Linked DNA regions of Oryzias latipes. The protein of the gene in region 3 interacts with the protein of the main gene of each other region in a pairwise test. Links are inferred from orthologs where the notes say so. Each region holds a gene or a part of one and is shown on either strand. Other genes may lie near its edges.

Evidence for each region.
Region 1: the proteins of arl6ip1 (region 3) and c5h12orf10 interact in binary tests that used the Homo sapiens proteins (3 or more experiments, as listed by UniProt). The two-hybrid records come from large-scale screens. The link is inferred for Oryzias latipes from reciprocal best matches to the Homo sapiens genes ARL6IP1 and MYG1.
Region 2: the proteins of arl6ip1 (region 3) and sucla2 interact in binary tests that used the Homo sapiens proteins (3 or more experiments, as listed by UniProt). The two-hybrid records come from large-scale screens. The link is inferred for Oryzias latipes from reciprocal best matches to the Homo sapiens genes ARL6IP1 and SUCLA2.

The regions. Positions count from the first base shown.
Region 1 is NC_019863.2:10,356,821-10,365,036, forward strand, and holds part of c5h12orf10 (UPF0160 protein MYG1, mitochondrial), read right to left. Parts: intron 5,857-8,216; coding exon 5,734-5,856; intron 5,381-5,733; coding exon 5,199-5,380; intron 1-5,198. UniProt on the Homo sapiens protein: 3'-5' RNA exonuclease which cleaves in situ on specific transcripts in both nucleus and mitochondrion. Involved in regulating spatially segregated organellar RNA processing, acts as a coordinator of nucleo-mitochondrial crosstalk.
Region 2 is NC_019879.2:13,984,811-13,992,689, reverse strand, and holds the end of sucla2 (succinate--CoA ligase [ADP-forming] subunit beta, mitochondrial), read left to right. Parts: intron 1-2,531; coding exon 2,532-2,693; intron 2,694-2,784; coding exon 2,785-2,927; intron 2,928-3,106; coding exon 3,107-3,227; intron 3,228-3,393; coding exon 3,394-3,482; intron 3,483-4,223; coding exon 4,224-4,298; 3' UTR 4,299-5,443; downstream 5,444-7,879. UniProt on the Homo sapiens protein: ATP-specific succinyl-CoA synthetase functions in the citric acid cycle (TCA), coupling the hydrolysis of succinyl-CoA to the synthesis of ATP and thus represents the only step of substrate-level phosphorylation in the TCA.
Region 3 is NC_019866.2:2,353,924-2,362,239, reverse strand, and holds arl6ip1 (ADP-ribosylation factor-like protein 6-interacting protein 1), read left to right. Parts: upstream 1-3,279; 5' UTR 3,280-3,406; coding exon 3,407-3,442; intron 3,443-4,481; coding exon 4,482-4,615; intron 4,616-5,634; coding exon 5,635-5,754; intron 5,755-6,527; coding exon 6,528-6,645; intron 6,646-6,852; coding exon 6,853-6,937; intron 6,938-7,357; coding exon 7,358-7,476; 3' UTR 7,477-8,086; downstream 8,087-8,316. Other genes in the region: serine/arginine repetitive matrix protein 2, read right to left, coding at 776-871, 1,078-1,325. UniProt on the Homo sapiens protein: Positively regulates SLC1A1/EAAC1-mediated glutamate transport by increasing its affinity for glutamate in a PKC activity-dependent manner.

The DNA.
Region 1 (8,216 bases), on a different chromosome or scaffold from region 3:
GGCTTTTCCAAACCCGTTGGTGATAGTGGATATTTTCACACTGCTTTAAATGATTAATTTTAACTTGAAAGCTGCGTCATATGCATTTCTTCTTGCATTTTCCATGATGAGGGTCTGTTCGTGCTATTCATTCACAATGCGGGAATTTACAGTAAATTTGTGTCTTCCTCGACACATAGACCATATTCCCCCTGTCTCACTCTTACCCCTTCTGCTTGAGCGCCTGTCAGAAAAATGCATAAAAAAATTAAATAAATGCATAAATTAGCTGCATCATTGAATAAGCCACAAGGTGGAAAGCGTGTGACAAAAGTAGCGGCTTATAATCCGGAAATTACGGTAGTCTTATAAAATAGGGAGAATTCCTGATTTATTATCTTTCCAACTAGAAATATATGCTGAAAATCTGAGGTTTTAAAAGGCTAAACATTTTAGTTTTAGCTACAAACTAGAAAAACTTCAGAAAATAGCTAAACTTTTCAATTAATGAAAGATTTTAATTGCTTAAAGGGTTTTAACGATTTCAATGACCATAAAGCATAAGGAACGATAATGATATGAAACTAAAGAGAAAAATTAATTCAAAAACTAGAAAGACGATTATGCTATGGAGAGAAAAAAACTGAAGTAAATGAGGAACGAAGCAGAGAACCAAAAAAACTGTTAGAGAGCCAGAGAGGCAGATCGTAAAAAGAGGTGAATATAGACACAGCACCTGCTGATGAAACTGACAAAGAATGGCAATTCACGTTCTACCAGTGTCAACGGGCACAATGCCCTCTAAGGCTCCCACTGCTCTCAAACAACCCTTAATCAGTAATGAGACCAGTGAATAGCCAAGCTAAAAGCATATTCTGGTTCAAGTAAAAGGACAGTTCAAGAATAACTCCTCTGTTCTAGCATTTCAACAAATGAAAGAATGACTCTCCAACACGAAATAGGTTTTAATGTCTGATGAAGACAGGAAACACCAAAGTGTATTATTGCTAAATTATTTCCATTTTATGATTTTCAAAATGTAGCTGTTGCATTACTGATTTGTTTTTCTGGAGAATATCTTCCTAAATTCATAAATATTTGTTAAAAAGTTTTTTTCAGCAGCAATTTCTAATGTAATAAAAAAATACTTTGAGTTTTAATTAAAAAGCAAAAAGAGGACAAGCATTTATCGTCATCTGCTCAGTCTGTCCTAAATTGATCCCCTAAACGACGCTGTTTCCAAAAACACATACTCCCATATTCCAACATATGTGAGTAAAAGCTCACCCGATTTTAATATTAATAACAAAAAGATGGTAGATATTAAAGTTTAATTTCATTTTGAGTGAAGAACAATTAATCCCTCCGTCTAGCACTGACTAACCCTGACCTCCTGCAAATATTTCATTATAAATATATTAAAGAATCTAGTTTTACACATGATCAGCATCAGCGAGATGAGAACAGAGGAATCCATGTTTTAAACTTTAATGATTCATGTAGTAGGACATATTAATAAAAAAATAACCAAATCTAAAGTTTATGAAAAGTGATGGTAATATTTGTCAATCTAATCTGACCTTTAAACTATCATTAAGTGTGCCTATGCTCATTTAAAAGTGATACCAAGTCACAAAGAAGTCATAAAATCAACACTGTCCCGCTAAAACAACATTTATTTTTGCTTTTCCTAAATAAATTTGTGTAAAAAGACTTGCCTAAATATGAGATAAGCAGCACAACAAATGAAATGTCAAATAAATATCTCAAAGAAACAACAGAAAAACAACTTGTGGTTGTGTTACGCTGTTACAAAACCTTTTTGCCTTTTCACTGCCAAACAATATTCGTCCGAGTGTCAGCACCAGCTGCAGAGTGCTGATAGATGAAATTTAATTATGGCTTTTACAGAATTAACTTTAATGAAAAGACAGCTGATAAAATCTGCCGTCGAGAAAGTGTTTTATTTCAAATACCATGGAACTTTATATCCAGCCACCATCAGTGTACCTTTTGCTTTTTACAATTTAAGAAAACACTAAAAACTTGTTTCCTTGCTAAGCAGGTAAAAATGGTACACACTGGTATTATAATTACGCTTCATTTTTGCCTTTTGATCCAAACGTGAGGCATCTGTCCTGAACTACAACTAAAAAGTTGAATTCAAAGAGAAGCATGAAGCACAGCAGCTGAAGCTCATGATTAGAAATCAAGATTATCTGACTGCTGTTGCTGTGCAGTGTGTGAGAGATTGTGTGAGGCAGACATTCTCTCACTTAAAATATTTACATCTGGTTAATGAAAGATACATAATACTTTAAATACATGAAAAGAAGACGACAGACAAACAAAAGACAAACTAGCACACTAAACACTCATTAGATCCAGCTAAATAAACTTTTCCTTCCAATCCGGTTGTGTTTGAATTTGTGTAAAATCAAAGCAACTGACTCACTGAATTAACAGTCAGCATTTGTTGAGCAAAAACATCAGCAGATGAGAATCTGTGTCTCAAATAAAGAATTTGAAACTACTGCAAACACCACAAAATTTTACTTTCCAGGCGCCATAACTTTGGTGAGATTTGGTGTACACGGTACCCGATTGGCTATTTGTGAGCATTACTTGCTTTACAGCTCCTTTGGGGTTCCACAAGTCTCGATTTTAGGGATGTTTTTTTTCTTTGAAACTTCTTACTTTACTTTCTACATAAATATTGATAATAATATTGTAAATATGTGACCTTAAAATGGACCCTGCCCAATTTTTTATTTTATTTTGTTGCAATTATTTACATTTTAAGTTTTAAATCATGTTTTGTCCAATTATTTTGTCCATACCTTTTTAAATGCTTGATATATTGTTTACAAAACTTTGGAAAAGTATTTTCATGTCAAAATATAAGCAGACTAAAAATCCTAAAGAAAGGCTTTCTTTATTCTATTTCTTCTTATTTCCTGTTTTTTGTTTAATTTTTGTTCTTGCTTTTTCTGTTTCAGTTACACCTACATTTAGTTTCATTACCTGTTACACTTGCAACATTTTTAAAAGAATGAGATTCACAGAACTCTGTCCAGGACACTTTTTGTTTTTACAATTTTCCAGGATCTGCCTTTTTAGACCATAACGTTTTGTAAAACGTCCTGTAGTAAAAATATATATCACAGAAAAAGTGTTGGTTCCTGATCCCAAATCAAAATACTAAGAGCATAGCTTCCATGTCTGTTTAGAGAAAACCACCATAGCATGATGCAGTCCTAAAAACAGGACAAACGTCTGCAATGATTCTACAACCAAGACCAAAGGGAGTCATCTATCTTCAGCCCTATTATCACCTTCTAAAATGATGTCTCTGTGAATATTTTACTTGTAGCTAACTTAAGATTAGGTTCAAATTATTCATCAGAGGCTTAAATATCTAAATGTTCCTTCTATATCATAGATCATCATCTAAAAACATTACAGTGCAAATTCTCATTGACAGTCTTTAGAAGTACCTGAGCTACACCCAAAGGCACAAACATAGACCTTCCTTAATGTTTTCTAATACTATTGCATAAAAAAGCCTAAAGCTTACCACTTACCTGTACTCAGGTACAGACTTTTTGATGGGGGACAGTACACAGACCTGCTCTTTACAGTTATTCTAATGTTGTCAGATTTATAATCACAAAACATTGTAACTGTAATCTATAGGAATGTCCCAATCAGGTTTTATTTTGGCCCTGATTCCGATTCAGAGTCATTTGATTTTGAGTATCTGCCGATTCCGAGTCCCAATCCGAGACTTTTGTAAAACATTTAAAAAATGAATGGATTTAATAAACAGATCTGGGTTTTTTCCCCTATTTTTCTTTTATTAACCTTCATTTATTGTTTAACACTTACACAGAGCACTTCTATGAAGTAGCTTTGACAGTCAAGTAAAACTAGTACAGCTATATTGACTAGTAAAAACAGTTAACTATTAACTAGTAAAGATTAGTCATGTGGGGAAAGTGTTGTGACTGTAGCTTTAGTATCTCCACAACCATTGAACATTTTTAATCAGATGTAGTTTATACATCTCCACTCTGACAAATAAATTATGATTTTATTTTGTAGCATAAATATGATGAGTATTCATGACATATCAATGGAACCATTAATTAGTTTTGGTTGTTTTTTAGAGATTGTGGGATTCTTTTCTGTAACCTCTTCAGACCTGGCATCAACATGTGTGGACAATCACAATATAAAAATCCGATCTCTAAATATCCTCTGTGTCTTCCATGAGATAAACACAGACGGAAATTTGAAACGTTATGCTGCAAATCCAAGCTTAGCTCACATCCCTGTTTTTGAATGACTTAATGCGAGTTGGTTTGTGTTTATTCGCATAAATGATTTTATGGAAACAGAGTACCGGTAATTGCGAAATTGCAGTTTTCTTTTGGCATTTCTAGAATTTCGATTAAGTTTTGCGCATATTTGCAATAGAAACGCAGCTATTATTTAAAGTCATATTGCTATTAAAACATTTTTAAACATGAGAAAGGTCAACAATGCATAAATATGCATTATAATGAAAAAAACCTGCAAAGAAACACTTGAGTGATAGGTGTATGTGTGTGTGTGTGGGTGTGTGTGTGGGTGTGTGGGTGTGTGGGTGTGTGGGTGTGTGTGTGTGTGTGTGTGTGGGTGTGCGTGCAGGTGTGTGTGCGCGTGTAAAACGGGACTCAGGTGGCTCACAGTGTTTACATCTTTTTCAGCTCCTGTGGGAGCAATGTGAGAACAAAACCGCTGCCTTGACAAAAGCGTCTCTGTCTTATGACAAACAAGTATTTTTATCTGTGTTAAGAGATCTTCTCTCAGTATAGAACATGTACACCCTCTGCGGGCGGCTGTCAAACGCCAGAGCAAGCATGAAAGCTAAATCATGTACCCTGTTTCATCTCTGTCACAAGAGCTCAAATCAGCTGGAAAACCCAAAAGATGTGCTTGTCGCTGTGTTTTCAAAGAAGCTTGTTGTGGTAAAATTTCCTTTTCTGTAAGACAGTCACAACTCTCCTGTGAGCTCCGCATGCCTGACTTTGGAACTGTAACTCCGTCAAGGCGTTCCCCTAACATGAACGATCAAAAGCTGTTCTCGTGAGGGCAGGACTGACCTTCAAGTGACTTTGAAACAAACGGTGGTTGAGATTCTTGCCTTAAAATAATCCTAAAAACTAAAGGAGTACCTGTTCTGAAAGGAGTGGAGATCAGCAGGGACACACTGGACTCGCCAGTGTCCGTTCTGGTCCGGGTAAAGGACAAACTTGATTTGTGTCTCCACCTGGAGCTCATTCTCCAAGTCAAATAAATGCTCCTTCCACGGACATCCTCCCTGAGAGAACAGTACCACCTCCCCACTGGGATCAACCTGAAAACAATAAAGGACAAGCACAAAATCATGGAACTCAATCATTGTTTGCAAAAACATGGAGATCAGGGTTAATATAGAGCACGACGTAGAATATAAAAAATAAAATATGGTGGCACAACCAATTATCCTTTTCACTTGCAGAAAAATGTCTGAATAAAAAAAGCCATTATAATGACTGTCCATCTGCAACTAGCTTCCACCAATCAGATCGGTGTTGAGGAGTAAATGGCAAGTCATAAATAACTCTTCATTAATAAAGCAAACACAACGGGAAGAACAACCAGTCAGTCACTGCAGCTGCTGCATTTGGCCAAAACGATAGAAACAGAATCTGGACCAAGTTCTGTTACCTGATGTCTCTCCTTGACTGCTGCCTCCACCACCTCACGAGCTGGAAGCCAGGAGGACTTGTAGAAATCCACGCGGTCCATGAACTCCTCCCCAACCAGTTTCATTGCCTTTCTGAAACCCTCCTAACACAATGTCGTTCATTTAAAAGAAAGAAGAAAAAACAAAGAGCGCAAGTTAGAATTATCATTAAGGTTATTAGAAACTGAGATACCATTTTTATATAATCAATTCATTTCTAACATCTGTCACCAAAATTTCACTGAACCGAGTTCTGTTTTAAAGTCAGATAGCAGAGGAGATAAAGATTTGAACGAGCAGCTCCACACAAATCATCACAGTTCTACTCGAGCCAGATCTGTTCCTAGTCTGCAACAGCCCGCCGAGCCGCAGTCTCTAATGGCCTTCAAGAATCACCTAAAGGGAGCTAAAAGGAAAGCCTGACACAATGAAAGATACATCCGGAAAACTCCAATAAGATGAAAACGTGTCTTTATAATGGACTTGAGTGAGAAGCTGTGCTCTCTGTGCTGAAGAACATCTGCTTCTTTCCTGACCGGCTTTTCCACTCGGCATTTGCAACAAAGATAAATAAATTAGGTCCTTTTCCAAGTCTATCTTTGCATCTGCCTATAATTAACCTTCAGGCACAGATTTGACTCCACTGCCCCACAACACTCTGCACATTTTCCATTGTTGTTTAGCCACAGCGACTGTCAACAGACTAGAAAAACCTTTATTTATATTTTAAAGAAATGAAAACTGAAAATATATATGACTCTACAGTTTAGATCACATTTTCTAAGAATAATCAATTGACATTTATCAATGAGAAAAGTTATTTAAGTCCAATTCCAAATATCAGTTTATCTATTGTAAAAGTGTTCCCAGTGGTCTTTTAATTAAAATATTAATTGTAATAATAATAATTATTATTATTATATATTTAGCCAAAATAAAGAAAAACCTGTGTTGCTTTTCTAGGACATAGTTTCTGCAGAGCGGCAGGAGGTCATCAGAAATTCACCTCTGAGTTGTGGGCGGGACTGTTGGCGTGGAGCAACTCGACCCCCCCTTTCCCATCACCCATTTGTTTACACTCTCTCCCGCTAGATTACAGCCCCTCACGCACCCAAGCTAACATTAGCGGTGCAACGAAAATGGTGGGCAATATTGGAGCTATCCAGTCGTACAGTTATGAGCCAGATGTCAGCTCAGACGAGGAAAACAAAGATGTTCATGGATCTATTTGTCTGCAAGTGGATGCATCGGAATGGAGCGGAGCAGGAAGCTTGTGGCCTGCCGGATGTAGCTTCCAAATAACTACAAACTTCATCAAACTGCATTTTCAGTCCACTCCTGATTTACAATGATTTGATTTATAAATACTCTGAAATCCAATTTTAAGCCTAATTTTCTTTATTTTTGTTATATAAATGTGACAAGAAAATTAAAAAATCAACAAAAACACAATTTTCATCAAAGTGGATCTTTAAAAGTCTGGTGTAACATAATGTTAAAGGATATAAAACACGTCTGTTAGCGTTCATCTGAACTTTTAATTTTAATGTTGCTTATAATAAATAAATACAATAAAAATGTTTTTTTTCAATCTTTTTTTAAATATTATTTTATGTTGGAAAATAATCTCCAAATGCTTGCCAACTATTTGTATGACTGTTTTTGTAAATCGGCAAATCCAATTATTAGAATTGTTCAATTCTGAAATATAATCAAGTTCCAGTTCTAATTCTGTAGATATTTTGATATAATCTTCAGATGTTAAAAAGATAAAAGTGAGTAGTTGAAGTTGTGTGTTTGTATCCCTCCCATTTCTGCTACAAATTGTCCAGGCTTGTAAGTTGTTTCTCAGCATGGCCCACATGTCAGATAGTAGAATAATGCAAGCTGTGAATGCTGAAACCACTGAAGCAAAGTCCGTGAAGGTGCATGAAATCACAACATTACTTTTCTTTACTATCTGTGCAGAATGGAAACATTACTGTGCTCAAAGATGTGCATTTTGTTGCAGTCTTGGTTTGAGATGCTGTCTTTTTTTAGCCTTTTCTTTCCGAATGAGTCCTTTATTTTCATATTTAAAAAGCTGCACACTTTTCAGCGCTGCTCCATCTGTTTAATATTTTTAGTGGATCTGTTTGAATCCATAGGTGGTGTTGGGTTTAACATACATCAGAAAGTTTAAAGCGTGGGAATCACTGCAGGGAAAGTTCCTGCCGCAGAAATCTGCAGTTCTAAAATGGAAATTGTCACCAGCAGCATTACCTGCATATTTCATTTGTAATAATATATTTACAACTCATCCTACATTGCAAAAACAATACATTTATGGAGGGGCAAAAAGTTCAACATGGGAGGTATGTAATATTTATCAAAAATAAAGACAGAATGTACAAAAATGATCTAGGAATGTTCATTTGAGGATTTTCAAATAATTTAACGGTACAGAAAATAAGTATTTACCTTC
Region 2 (7,879 bases), on a different chromosome or scaffold from region 3:
ATAGATAGATAGATGTATTAATTGTCCACTGGGGAAAGTTGTTTTCATAGTAAAACATTTCTTCATAAGCTACGGAATTATGGTATTCATGCATATGCCTTTAGTTTGTTTTATTTTTGATAAAACAATGTATGGCGTATGTCTCAACCATTCCGAAAGCAACAAGAAATTACATTTGCGCTGAACAATTTCCCATTTCCACATCGATTATTACCGACATCTGTAGCTTGTCAGATGCAATTAAATGGATGGAAATAAAATGCCCCATCACAATGCGTAATGACGCACAATGGCTGATCTTGCGCTCTTAGAAGATGTGGCAAATGGAAGAATTCGGAGTGAACGCATCTTTAGACAGCAACAAGACTTGCTGGCAAACGAGGACGAGTGGCTAATGAGCCGGTTCCGACTTCCTCGAGCCGTCCTGTTGGAGGAGGTTGTTAGGCTACAGCCGTCTGCCACCGTTTGCCACTCAAGTGCCTTCTTGGCATTAGTAATGCCCACACTGTGCCCTCCAAACAACATTTTTCTCCTCTTTTCCACTTCACCAACGATAACTTCTACTTCACATTGAGTGAAGTTAAGTTTTTTTGATTTCCTCTCTGTTTTTGCCATGATTTTGCAATCCATGAATATTAACTTGTGGGCGTTTCACGGACTATCTATGGGCAACTATGGGCGTGTCATGAAGCCCCAAAAGCTGCGCTACATTTAGAATTGATTTTGATTTATTAAGGGAAACATCCGTAGGATGTGCGTGCGCACGGTTTTATAAATCCGAATATTTCTGTGCGTACGCACGTCCTATGTTTCATCCGTACACCACTTCTGACGCAAATCCTACGCAAAGTTTTATATATGAGGCCCCAGAACCCACACCACAGGGACACGGACGCCCCCAGGCTCAGATGTGATGTGGTCCCCGGCTTTAAATGAACATTTTAAACACGAGCATGTGGATTGAACAAGTGCGAGTACATGTAGAATCCAAACTTCTGGGTTTACGAAAACAGTTTTGTTTTTATATTTAGAAAAAAAAAAAAGAATTTGAAACCAAATAGAAAACAAACTCCACTGTGTGTTTACTATACTACAGAAGGAAAACTTCCTATAAAACAACACTCATACTCTGATCCTGGGACATGGAGAGCTTTGACCATGCTCTGCACCAATACTCTCCAAAGCCCTCTGTGTCAGGGTCCTCATCTTCTGTATCTAAAATGAACAGTTGGGCTAAATTTCTATCAAATACACCAGATTCCCTTTTCATCACTATCAGAGTATGTCTCGTTGCCGTGCGGCTCCTCGTGAATAATGCCGGCCTTTGTGAAAGCTTGAAGAACAGTGAAAGCAGACAAGTTAGCTTAAGCATCCACAATCCATTCACAAACTGACGTAACACGCCTGGCGCTGCCTCCCAGTCTTAGTGAAAGACTAAGACTAGGTAAAGGAGGGGAAGATGAAAAGTTTTTCATTGTAATCTGCTTGAAGTTGCGGCGCCACCGTAGTCCTTGCCCTGATGGAAAGATGGCATCGTTTTATAAAACGAAAGCACCAATACTGACCTCCTTGAAAATATTCAATTTTCATTTCCTCTGCAAGCATTACTGTCTTCAGTCATATGGTGACTGTAAAGAGGCTTCCTCCAGCTGGCTTGACTGTTCTCTGATCGTTAATCCATCGCTCGAGTCGGTCTTCCAACCCAGGCCACCTGGCCTTGTTTCTGCCGAAAGTCTTCCTGACTTGTCGGAGTTCGTTTTCCATCTTCAGACATGCAGACATGCTCAAGTTCACGTCAGGTTTAAGTCAAACTCTGTTTTGTTCAAAATAAATTAAACAAAGAATTCCTGTAAGGTCTTCCTGCAGAAAGCAATCTTTTAGAAAAGTGAAAAATGGTCAAAGGTTGAATTTGTTTTTGAGCTCTTTGTGCGACTCGGATGGCGAAGCTGTTAGTTGATGAGTGAAAAGCCCAAAAGTCTCATAAAACACTGCTGGATCCATCTTAACTGAGGCTGAAGCTTTTATCCCATCAGTTACCCAAATAGTTAAAGTCATTGACTTATATGGCTGTCTAATGATCATTCTAAAATTATTAGCAGAGGTGGACATGCGTCTGTTTCTGGAGTTTATTCTGCATTTTTGCATCTAGAAAATGAAGGGAATTTAGCATGCCAACGTGCCTTTAGGCAAAGCTGATCTGGTTTTGTTGTTACCAAACTGCAGCAGCAACCGAAAGAAATGGAATTGTTTTCCCTTTTCACTCCAGGTTAGAGCGTTTTTTAGAAGAGACCACTGCTGAGGAGGCATGAATATTTTTCAATCTAAAAGAAGACGTGTGACGTTAAAACAAACTGAGTGTTTTAGTTCTCATTTGTTAAGCAACAGAAACCAATGCTGTGACTTTTAGGTCTGAAACTGCCCACATCCACAAACACTCAGACTGTGGAGTTTATTTGTCTTCTCCGTTTTTGTCTGCCCATCATCTTAAGAGCTTAGTCTGTCTGATCAAACATCATATTTTTTTCTAACAGTGATGTGCATGGATGCAAAGATCAACTTTGACTCCAACGCAGCATATCGACAGAAAAAGGTCTTTGAGATGAGGGACTGGTCTCAGGAGGACCCCCGAGACCATCAGGCCGCCACAGCTGACCTTAACTACATCGGATTGGATGGAACCATCGGCTGTCTGGGTCAGTTCCATGATCATGAAACCTGAGACTGGTCTTGATCAGCTAGGAGAAAAAGATGAATAATCTTGTTTGTGGGATTTGTTCTCTTTAGTAAACGGGGCAGGTCTGGCCATGGCGACTATGGACATCATCAAGCTGCACGGTGGCACTCCAGCCAACTTCTTAGACGTCGGGGGCGGAGCCACAGCACATCAGGTGACCGAGGCTTTCAAACTCATCACCTCTGACAAGAAGGTAAGACGTGTTGTCTTTGTCTGTGAGTCTTCTTTCTGCTTCTATGTCAAAGGGACTCCTTTTAGAAATTCCAGTTTCTTAGTTTCTCTTCATCATATTTTACAAATGTAAGTACATCTAGAAATCTCTAAAACAGATTTGTAAACATGTTTGTTTTCGGCTGTGGTTTTGCTCTTCAGGTTCAGGCCATCCTGGTCAACATTTTTGGAGGCATCATGAGGTGTGACGTCATTGCCCAGGGTATCATCATGGCCGTGAGAGACCTGGACCTCAAGATCCCCATAGTTGTACGGTTACAGGGTACGGCACACCTGAACAAAGAAAGTGACGAGCTTTGTGCCCCTGATCATGGATATATTGGAGAAGGGAGCTGAGGAATGTTCTCACTCCCTTTTTTGGTTGTGAAATAAAAAAAGGTTCACGGTTCTTTTCAAGCTGCTGATAATAAAAGTTCTTTTGTCTTCAGGCACAAGAGTGGATGATGCCAAAGCTCTGATCGCTTCCAGTCCTTTAAAGATCTTGGCCTGTGATGACTTAGATGAAGCTGCCAAAATGGTACTTAAAACAAGAACACAGACATCTTTTCCATTTTAAGAAGCACTTAAGCACCATGGCATGTGTGTACTTACACTGACATAGCACAGCATGAGTATTTATAATGTCAAAGACCCACTCCAATGAAAATGTTGTCTATAACTTGTTCTTCTGGCATCTCATGATGGAGGAAATATTTGAAGACAATTAACTTAAAAAGTTTTTTACTTGAGTATTTATTCAAATTGTTGTGAATCAGGAGCAGACAAAAAATGTAGTTTGAAAGAGTTTGTAATTTTGACGGGCCACAAGCTCCCTGTTCCACTCCATTCTGATCATCCACTTACAAATAGATCCATGAACGTCTACGTTTTCCATGTCTGAGCTTGGGGGTTGTGGGGGGCTGTAAGCTAGTGGGAGAGAGTGCAAACAGATGGATGATGGGAAGTGGGGACGGGCTTGCTCCACACCAACAGTTTTACCCACAACTCAGAGGTGAATTTCTATTGAACTCCTGCTGCTCTGCAGAAACTATGTCCTAGAAAACAACAGGTTTTTTATTTTGGCTAAAATTGGCATCATAATAATTAAATGATCACTGGGAACACTTTTACAATAGATCAAAAGATGAATGAAGCTGACATGTTTCAGGTGCAACAAAAAATACATCTTTATGTGGTTTCTTCTTGTTAAGTCTGATATCTGTTGTTGCCTTTGATATTCTTTAATGAAGGTGCACTCTTCCTCCTATGTTCTCTCCAGGTTGTAAAACTTTCAGAAATCGTCTCTTTGGCTAAAGAAGCTCAGGTGGACATCACCTTCCAGCTGCCCATCTAAGAACCTGACCACCTCTCTTCCAAACACCGTTCCCCAGATCGCTCTTCTCTGCTCACTAGCAGCAGGACTGAACTCCTTAGAAGACAAATTCACCTTCCTCTTCATCATCTGTTAAGGATTTTCAACATCTTAAACTCAAACAAACACCCTTCTTTATTTATGTTTATAAATTTGTTTCAACCCCTCATCTCCTTCTACATGACGCTCCCACAGGCTGTGTTGCACTTGAGCCGATACGCACAAACATTTCACCTCCTCTTCATCCTTAGAGCAGGACTCGTGATCAGTCTGTTTACTTCTGCACCTATTTGGTTAAAAAACAAAACATTCTCAAAAGTCTAATAAAGAACAACACAGCAGTCGTCTCCTCAGTGTGGTTCTTGAGCGCCGTAATGATTGAAAAACAATAAATGTGTATCAGCAAGGAGATGAAGACGAATATGCTGCAGCCTGTTCCTATGCTTCAGCTGTGAGTTATTTTTCATGTTTCTCAGCAAACAACAGCTGATTTATCAATCTGACTGAAAGGTCTGGAGAAGAGTAATATTTACCACAGCAATGTGAAGGTTCTGTGTGTTATCCTCCTGATTTTACTTATTTAACTGAACACAAGAAAAAAACATATTTTGTATATGTGGCAAACTGAATCCTCTTTAAGTGCTTTCCCAACACGAACCTGGATTTTTATCACTGATCTTGACTTAACGTTGTTTGATCAGAAGTTCAGACTTAGGATCACGAGTCTCGCATTTGAACATTTATCTCCTGACATCCTTTAAAAAGCAAATGTATTTCAACTTGATACTGGAGTCCAGACTAGAAGTCTGTTCTTTCTGACTTCACTTCTGTTTCCACTTCTTAAAGAAAGATCATTGGCTGTTTCTCTTTGCTGTCCTGCCACAGAACAAAAGACTTTTAGCTTTCTATTTGTAGGTTTGAGTCTTGTTAGACGGCCAGACTATAAAGCAGTTCGTCATTTTCTTCTCCTCTTTCTCCTGCTGAGCTTCGAACACAAGCAGACAATGTGAGATGTACGTCACTAATTTTACCATGTAAATAACAAATGTTGTTCTGTACCATATTTATGCACCTCACACAGAGGACAAACCGGTAAGAAAAAGAAATAAATGCTGGGAACACCAGTACTACAGTGTGGAGGCCTTTCTTTCAATGAAGATAAATTTTAACTTTTTTCACATCAATGCTTAATGCTGTGGTCTTGAGATCATCCCATAATTGTGGCTTAGAATGCAAAAATATCACTTTTGGTTTCATAAGGTTAAATAAAAATATACATTTATTACTATTTGGTTCATAAAGTGAAAACAGGGCTGCAAACTTTTCAGAAAAGCTTGGAGTGAGACTCAGACAAATGAAGTCAGTCTTTACGGCAGTAAGTCGTAAAACAAGGCAAGTTTAGTTATGGGAAAGTGTAATTATGAAATAAAGCACCTTTAGGTAAAAAAAAAAGACTTTAAAGAGCAACAAATTATTCACCTTAACATGAGAAACAAAGAAACTAAACTACATACTAAGACCAGACACAAGGCATTTTGAAAAAAATTAAAAACTGTCGCTTGTAGAAATTATTTGTGGCCTTTTTTGATGGTTTGAGAATTTCAGTGGATGGCTCCCACTTGAACCATGGCTTAAGGCCTGCTTTCGTAACCCTTGTGCTATTCTAGGCACTTTAACATTGGGAGTTGGGTCATCTAGACCGACTAGACAGTGCTCTGAACCTTTTTTCTTCAATGATTTGTGGTCTTCGCTGGTGTCCATGGATTACATGAAATCTTTCCACCTTTATCCACCTTTGTCATGGTAGGAATAACACGTCAATGGAAGGGTGGGGTCATCTAAGATAGCACAAGGGTTAAAAAAGGAATCACCTTGTCTGGAGTTCCAAAAGTGGGGGTGGACCGAAACACAATAGTCAGCAATGCTCCAGGGGGTATTCCAGAAAGCAAGAGTAAACTACCCTGACTTTAACCCTGAACTCGCCTGAACTTGCTTACTCTGAGTGCTTAACATGAAATATACCCCCATTTCAGGGAACACAAAGCTGAGGCTATCTACTTCCTTAGCCTCAAACTTACCGTGGGAGCTAGCATAACCTGCTTTCTGGAATACCCCCCAGGTTTTGGATAGTTGTTTGTAAACATCTGTTAGTTATTTAGTTTCGAAGAATTCAGAAAAGGTTTAAGTTTTTCTCACTTGTTATAATGTTCTTTATTTAAAGTTTGAAAGTTATATTCTTTAGTTCATATTATGTGTTTAAAAATGTGTAGATTGTTTTTATTATTACAGAATGCTTTTGAATATTTAAGTTGCAATGTTATATAAAGTTCTTTTTACAAGCTTTATTTATGCTTTGTGGTTGTTTGTGGTATAAACATCCCACAGTTTAGATGAGGTGCTGCAAAACATTCAATAAACTGCTAACAAAGTACGTTAATACATTCTATAACCCTTGTGCTATCTTAGATGACCCCACCTTACATTGACGTGTTCTCCCTACCATGACAAAGGTGGATAAAGGTGGAAAGATTTCATGTAATCCATGGACACCAGTCAGGTTCACAAATCATTGAAGAAAAAAGGTTTAGAGCACTGTCTAGTGGGTCTAGATCAGTGTTTTTCAACCTTTTCTGAGCCACGGCACACTTTAACCTTAAAAAAAAATCCCGCGGCACACCAGCATCCAAAAAGTTTTAAAAAAGGAGAAACTCAGTCTGTATTGATCTACAGCCCCTCCCTCCACAGTCTCACATGCATTTTTGAGATAATTGTTGCAGAAAAAGCTGGAAACTGCAGCTGTTTTTTTCTAAAAGATGCAATAAAAGTTAAGTTAGAAGATTTAAAAACAGTTTGAAGTGTGTTCGTTGGTTTCAAGACGTTTAACAACAGATCTCCTTGTGCGCTGTCACTCTCTCAACCCAATGCATCATGGGAGATGTAGTGCATAAAACGGCCGGCGGAGATCGCTTTTCGGAGCTTCATGGTTTTGTTCACTTGTTCCACGGTCTGATACCGGACTCTGTGGAAAGCTACACCGCTAAAGACGAGCTTTAGCTGCTATTTTTGTTAGAACTGAGCGACTTTACGAGCTAAATCGGGACAAGGAAGTGAAGACTTTAACCACTTCTGATTGGTCAGACTGATGACATGTGATTAAGCTCCCCAACAATGATTGGTGGAGACAGTTAAAGGGACGGGACTTTTCCAAAATACAGCCGGAGCTGCAGCTGAGTCGTGGTAACGTCATTCTTATCAAAATGTCTTTAATAAAATAAAATAAACGCAAAGAAAAAGTATTTTAGGATCTTTTATATTCCTAACTACTCAGTGTTTTATCAGGGCCTGTTTGGATGAACAGAGAGCTGAAATCCTGGAGATGGAAAATGTTGTTAAATCAGCTAATGAGGGCAATTTCTCCACGGCACACTTGACCATCTCCCACGGCACACTAGTGTGCCGCGGCACACTGGTTGAAAAACACTGGTCTAGATGACTCAACTCACAATGGTAAAGTGCCTAGGATAGCACAAGGGCTACTCTATCTTACACAGAAGTCTTTAGGT
Region 3 (8,316 bases):
ACAATCAGGGACTCTGACTTGGTAGTGACTCCCATGGAAGGCGTCCATCTTAATTCACAGAAGTACCAACCGTTTGAAAATTGATCATTATAATCATTGAAAATTAATAATCGGGGTTAGTGCCTGGCCATAATTATATGACACCAAGTCTTTCATATATCGGAAAAGAGATGTGAAAAAAAGAAGCCTGGAGCTAGATCCACAAGATTTACACCCCTTCGACATTTCGCACCAAGCGACTGTGAGCACATGCGCTACGATCAAGAAGCGCTGGCCCAGTGTGAACATCATATAATAATAATAATAATAATAATGGATTGGATTTATCTGTGCTTTTCAAGACACTCAAAGTGCTTACAGTGTGTCCATTATTCATTCACTCCTGATTCATACTTGGTGATGGTAGCTACTGATGTAGCCACAGCTGCCCTGGGGCAGACTGACAGAGGCGTGGCTGCCATTTCGCGCCTACGGCCCCTCTGACCATCACCGGGATCATTCATACACATTCACACACCAGTGGAGCCACACTGGAGGCAAGGAGGGTGAAGTGTCTTGCCCAAGGACACAACGACATTTTGGCTGGTGGGAGCGGGGATCGAACCGCCAACCCTTCGGTCATTGGACGACCCGCTCAACCACCTGAGCCACTGTCGCCACTATATGCAAAAAGTGCATCCAAGAACCTGCGTTCAGCGCATTCTTGACCGTGCAACACCTGCCCTGTGTGTACGTAGCTTAAGTGCGATGCCAGAATTCCAGATCAAGTCCTTACGTTGGTTTCTGAGTGCTGGAGGGAGGCGGCTCCTCCTTTTCCTGAAGCATCATCCTGAAACTGTTCACCTTTTCCTCAATCTCTTCTGCTGCATACCTGAATGACCAAACAACAGAGACAAGCCATAGCTACCTTAATATGCAGTTTCAGATCAAACACGTTTTTTCCCAACAAAAATATTCTATTCTAAAATAAAAACAGCAATCCTTCATGAAAAAGGAATATAGTAATGGACAAAAAGTCTGTTTAATGATGTAAAACTTATTGATAAATAATCCTAAAATGGTTTTGTAGTTCTTTACCCTTGCTCCTCCATCATGTCTTGTAGTTCAGCACATTTGACCTCTAGCTGCCTCTTGCGCTGATGCTCCAGGATGTCCGCATTGGGCTGCCGGTTCAGCTGACTCTCCAGCCTCTCCCGGTCCTTCTCATCTCGTTCGCCGCCGCGCTCGTCCCGCGGGCGCTTGACCCGCACACTCGACAGGTTGCGCTGCACATAACCGTTGGTGCCGCTGCCCCGCGGAGTCGTCAGGCCGATGCCATTGTACATGGCTCTGCAGAGGAAAAAAGAGGTGCTGAACCTAACTTTATCCCAAATTTACAAATTCCTGTGAAGGAAAATCTTTCATTCCTAAGTGTTTGCAGAACTGAACTTCCACACACATCTGCGACGACCTGCATACTAATAAAATAAGGGCAGTAAAAGGGATTGTCTCATTTTGCCAATGATGCAAATATATCAACCAATCTATTCCATTTATTATTATCTCCATTAATGTTTTATAACCTGATAAAGTAAACATTGTGGATACACAGAGAAAAAAACGTTATTATCCAGGAAAGAGAAATATTGTATATTTTAGTTTAAACTCAGAATCAGAACATTCAAGGTCTGTTGAAATGCAATGTGGCAGAGCAGCAGATTATTTTAACCCGTTTTAGATTTTCTTCAAACAAATAACATGGGAATACAGTGGATTACGGTTTCCATATCATTATCTGACGCATGTCTCTTTTTAAAATGGCAGACGTGGCGATTCCCTTGTCAAGATCGCTTGGTATTTTTAATCTGTAAAAAAAACTGATTTTAAAAATAAACCATAAAAGAAAAAAAAACAAACCTAAAAGTGTGAAATCAGTGGTGCATCACAAAACGAAACTCTCCCAGCAACAACAATTGGGTAACAATCTGGTGAGCCGAGTTTACCGTACAGGCTCGAATGATAATCAGCCTTCAACACACATAGTAAGGAGTCCGGAGACTCAAGAAAACGTGCGCACTCACTGTTAAGTTGCATTTACGAGGAAAGTGTTGTTTTTTCGACTATAATACACGTGCGCAGACATAGGCCTTTTGCTGTAAGTGACTTTAAAACTTCACTAATGTCATCAGAAATACTACAAAAAATGTATTTCTAGGCTATACTAACGTTTTATGTTTAAATAAATTATCCAAGAAGGCCTGAATAAATTAAACAGGTAGAATTCACGCATTAGCTAGCTAACTAACTAGCATGCTAATATAACAGCTACGTACCAATTTGTAGGTTTCGCTCGATTTTTCTTTCTTTTAAAAGAAAATACCGAACTTATATCAACTTAAACTTTGCGTCTGATACCTTACTCCACTGTCAAATTGGTCGAATTGATCCTCAAAACAACCGTATCCTTAGAACAAAAGCACTCTTAGCACTGTTAGCAACCAGATAGCTCTCAATTCAACCACGGCATAAGTGAGAGGAAGACAAAACTACGTCACACGTTCAACAGTCGTCCAAACCGTGATGCGTTCAAGTGCCGTAAGATAATAGTAGGAACATTGATGTTCATGAGAATTGCGTAGTTTAGTAATGCATTTATTAACTACATTTGCTTATCATTAATTTGTAATAAAGTGAACTGAGCCACAATACTAAACAAAATTCTAAAAGGTATTATTTTTTCCTGATATACTGAAGTAAAGGTTAAACCCATTAGTAATGAATTCATTTAAAAGTTTAGAAGCGTTTCATCAAACCATATTAAAATTGAAAAATAAAATGTGTAACTATCCATTTTTTTCTGAAATATTATTCAGCTAGTGATATTTTTAAAATTGTTTTACAAAATTGTATATTTTACTTTCATCTGTGAGCACTTTTCTGTTGTCTATTTTGAATTTGTTTCTAAAATATTCAGTACGTTAAAGACGATTTTGAATTTTTAACTCAAACCTTTAAAAGGAAACGTGAGTCACTTTTTTAAATTTCCTTATTTCTAACAAACGTGTTTTTTACTATTATTTTTATTTATTTATTTATTTATTTATTTATTTATTTATTTATTTATTTATTTATTTATTTATTTATTTATTGGACATAGCGAAGGGACATTTTTAAATGTATGGATGTGTTTTATTTAATTGCTTTTAAAAAGGACAATTGTCGGTGTGCAGAGAAGCATAGAACTTCATTTCCCAGAATGCAAGTGGTTAAAGTTGACGCAGGTTTTGAGATAAAAACATCCTGTCTTAGCTCGACCGTTAGAGACGCCGAAGCAGCAGGTGGAGTGCAGTCTAATCCCCAGCTCCAGTTTAGCTGTAGAACTTTAAGGGGTTTCACGCCACAAATCTAAAACACCGAAACCACCGTGATGGCTGAAGGCGACAACAAAAGTTCAAACGTAATAGTAAGTGCACAATTTCCCTCCTTTTCTTCATCTCGTGACGTATTTTGGTGGTTTTAGCCTAATGTGTTCAACGTTAGCATGACTCGCAGATGCTAATTTTACTAGCTTTTCGCCGCATAATATTTCCATTAATGTTCATTATTAACTTACAAACTGTTAATAATATTAACTTAAAGTTTTGTTTGTATATGTTGTTAAAATTAGTTGAGCTTTCCACCGCGACTCTTCTTTTTTAACGCTAGTAGCTAACGTTAGCTAGCTATCTAGCATGATTTTTAGCTGGGTTTAGCCTTCATCGATCGAAGATTTTGATTGTTGAATGTTAAAATTGCATAACATAAGCTTTAATTCTTAATAATATAAAACGATATATGATTCTTCTTTTGGTTTTACTAACAGAAATGTTGGCATGTACGTTGGTTATTTCTCAGAGACGCCCCAGTGGGTTTAATTAAAATACTCCCCGCATTATAATCGTTTTGCGGAACATGTCTCGTTGCGGATACTATAGTTTTAAAGCTCCATTATTGCCTAATTTAAGACTTCCGCTTAATTGAGCCACGTCATTTCCCCAACTTTTAGAATAAATTACTCAAACCAAACTGTTGGTTTTTGGGCTTTTGGCTGCAGTGCCAGACCCTCCTAAAAAGAGTTTAGGCCTCATTTCAGTCACAGTGCAGCATTAGACTAATGATTTAAGTGTCACCCTGTGGGTAATAATTTCCAGTGAGTCACAGTTTTGTTATCAGTGACTCTGACTGATAGCTTTTGTTTTAAGGAAGATGTTTTTAGAAAGGGAAAGGCTGACAAGAGACCAAACAAAGAAGGGAGTGTATAGACAAATATTCATTTGTCGTTTTAACTATTTATTCAGGAATGTTCCTGAAAGCTTTCTTCTGTTTTTGATTCATCTGCTGTCAAAATAGAGTAAAAGCAGGAATAAAAAAAAAAGTCATCAAAATAGAAACATTTTTTTTTACTGGGGACTCCAGACTGGTTGGTTGGTACCGGGTTTGCTGAAGCAGTGTTCTGTGTTTAGGCTCAGGAAACTGCACAGCTGGAGGAGCAGCTGCAGGCCTGGGGAGAGGTGATCCTGGCTGGGGATCGTGTTCTGCGATGGGAGAAGCCCTGGTTCCCTGGAGCTCTAGTGGGAGCTACCACCGTGATCTTCTTGTAAGTCGGGTTTACTCTATGCTGGGTTGGGTTTTAGAACATGCCATACCAGAATGGTTTCATCTGGGATTCTTTCATTTTTCTTTCGGATGTCTACTTTTAAAGATCGACGCTTGAATTGTTAATGAGGTGACCTGTAAGGACAAAAGGAGGATATATAGTAATGTCGCTACAGAGAATTTGCTCTGAAAAGTCCAATTTCCATGAAAACTTGAGAAACTCTTCATTTTTATGTTTCATTCTTAGAGTTGAACAACAATTGCTTCTTTCAGGCCTAATTTTGTTGCAACACAAGGTTTTTCTTTGCCTGAGGGAAAGTTTTCGGTTCTCTTTCACTCTGCCTTCAGTTTTTATCAGAGTGCAAATGCAGTTGTGTAAATGTTTTCAGAGTTGAGAGAAGTTGGTAAATGAAAATGTATGTAAGGATTTAAAACTTTTAAAGGTAGTCAGACTCATTGACCCACGATGAGGGAATCTCACCTTCTTGGGATCTTCAGTGCTGTTGCCCAGACTTGCGTAAACTCATGTCGGCACATGGAAAAACTGAGGTTTACGGCTATTACCATGTGTTCTCTCACATCATGCTGCATTAGACACTGAGTTGTTTGTATTTGCCAACGTCTCTCTTTTTAACTTCCCGTGTGCTGCGCTGCGCCTTTTCCTGTAGATTTAGAGCTTTTTGTATCTGAAGTCATATTCAGAAAAAAAAGCTGCAAACTATCAAACATTTCTAGTTGTATAAAATATCACAGCCTGAAGATGCAGACTAGCTTGTTGGGTTTAAAAAGCACTTTGTGTTTTGTTAAAATCACAGTTCAGCTGCTTTCTTAATGTGCTGCATTCCTGTTTAATTCCCCCAGTGTCCACGCCCTTCCTCCATCTGCAGCCCACAGTTGGATGATTGTTTATCAGCCTCGCAATACTTTTTCAGATGTCGTATTCATAACCGCACAGAAACCTCTGTGTGTTGTTGTTTTTTTTTTTCAAGTAGATGTTTGAATGTTTGCTTCCTGTTTCAGGCTGGTGTATTACCTGGACCCGTCAGTGCTGACTGGACTCTCCTGCACAGTCATGCTGCTCTGCTTGGCTGACTACTTGGTTCCCACCCTCGCCCCCCGAGTATTTGGCTCCAATAAGTGGTGAGAGGATCACCCAACCCTGTTTTGATTCTTAGTTTGGCATCAGAGCCGACTTGGTTGACAAAAAAGTCTGAATGGTTTTGTCTTCATGGTGGACTTCTCTTTGTCAGACGTGATGCCTAAACGGAATGTTCATTGAGCTTTGAAATGTCAGAATGAGCTGAGAAGCCAGTTCACTGAAAACCAGACACCATGACGGCAGAGCGACACGCCGCAGGTGGCCAAGGGCGCCCTTCATCCCTCTCTTGGTGTCTTAGGTTTCTGGATATTTAACCCCCCATCAGCTGTCCGTGACCCGCGCTGCTCTACTTAACACAAATAGCAGCAGACGGGCTGGTGGTGTTCAGCAGCTTTTATTTGACTGTCTATTCTGGGTCATCTGAACCTCCAGTATCTGTTCGGATGACGTTTTTCATTTTGCAGCTTCAGCCAGGCTGTCGTTCTGTCTGACCAGCTCGCTGACTTTTGTTGTCCGTTGCTGAGACTGCAGAGGAGTCTGATCAAAACGATGTCCTAAGGTCGATGAATGTGACTGAGCGTGCTCCCGCTCTGAGAACACAGGCAATGACTCGGCAAAGTGGGGGGGCAGTGCTCCAACATGGGGGTTTCAAGAAAGTTTTCCCTTTTTTTAGTGAGGAAATATTAAGGCTGTGAACATGCAGAAACTGCGGTCAGCAGCCATCCATGAAGCAAAGCCGCTTATCAAAGTTTAATAAAACGAGGTCACGCTTTCTCCCACCCCTCACACAGTGTTCTTAACCGTTTGAGTGCAGGACTACTGAGCAGCAGCAACGCTTCCATGAGATTTGCGGAAACCTGGTGAAGAGTCAGAAGAGGGTTGTTGGCTGGTGGAAGCGTCTCTGCGCTCTGAAGGAGGAGAAGCCCAAAATGGTAAATTTAAACGCTGCAAGTGAACAGCAGAGCGTTTGAAACTGCGGCCCAGATTAAAACTTCATCTGACTAGGCTGAGCCGGTCCGCTTGTAACTGGGTTACAAGCAGCAGGAGTCCCAAACTTTAACATAAAGCACTTCCTTTTTGTTTTTGATGAGTTTCTCTCTAAGCTCAGGAAGTTCTCCCCCATTGTTTCATCTTCACAGTACTTTGCCTCAGTGATCAGCAGCCTGCTGGCAGTGGCCTGGATCGGACAGCAGGTGCACAACCTCTTCCTCACCTACCTGACTGGTAAGGTTGTGTCTTTGTTGTGTTGTCGTGACAATGTGCTTACTCTGCAGTTTTTCAGCTACTCGTGACTTTCAGGCTTCCTGCTACTGTAGATCAATCCACAGATCAATGCGGGCTTTTAGAGGCGCACCCTCCTGCTGTTTAAACCTGTGACACATCTGCTGATTCACAGATGTGTCACAGGTGAACCTCTGTCAGCTCCAGCGCTCTGAGACATGTCTAGAAGTCAGAACAAAAGTGGAGAGCAAGTTTCTTCATGATCACTTGTGCTTCATGTCAAGTCAAACTTGTTCCTCCAGCTGCTTTCTTCTTTTTAAAAAAAAAAGTTTTTTTTGCATTCTGTTCTTTGTGAGAAATTGTGTTGTGCAAACGGTTCCAAAAGCTGACGCACCGTATTGATGGCGGTCGCCTCTTCTGCAGTGAGCTTCCTGCTTCTGCTGCCCGGGCTGAACCAGCACGGCATCATCAGCAAGTACGCGGGCATGGCGAAGAGGGAGATCAACAAGCTGCTGAAGCAGAAGGAGAAGAAGAACGAATAGACACGACGAAAGGCGCTGGAACGAAGCGTTGCCGAGGACGACGAGAGGCTCTGTCTGCAAATAAAACGCACTTTTTGTTTTTCACACCTTGGAAAAAATTGGCCGTTTTCACACCTTTAGACCTCGCCACCCTTCAGTTTTAAAGACACCCGTGCATGCAGCCACAGCTTTAGGTTTGTCACCTGTGAACGGCACAGCCCACTCTTTGTTTTTAGGTCAGGTGAGCTTTATTTTAAAGAATCTGCGATACTATGACGCCACTCGTTCTTAGACTTTGACTACTGAAGCAGCTTTTTATCCGCTCTCACAATAATCATGTTTTTTGGGGTGAAGTTTAGATAAAGAGCCAATTCTGAGGTTTCACTGATGTAAGACGATTCAGCTTTAGCGGGACTGAACCCAAAACTGGATTTAAGGCTGAGCTGATCAAGAGTCCAGACTGCTGAACCCACACAAGCTGGACCCTGTGTTTGTTTGGGGGGAGGGGGGTGTACAAAGCTTCTCATGTCTGTCCGTTCTGTTTGTTTTCTCTCATTTTCTTTGTTCATAGTCTTTACAATTTTTGTTGTAACTGGAAATCTCAACTATAATAAAGTTTCATTTTAAGTTAGTCCTGTGCTTGTTTGGTCTTTTTTGAGGGGAGGATGAACTCTGAAACCCTGACTTGTTGACATGTTCAGCCGGTGACACGGCTGACTTATCGGTCAAACAGAGGCAGAAAAGGCCCCTCCCTCATCTGCGTCCACCAACCCCAAAGGTTGGACGAGGACCTTCACAGACTCTACACGTTTCTCTGCATCGTCTGGATTCTTGACCTGCGTGAAGCAGAAGCTGTTTGGG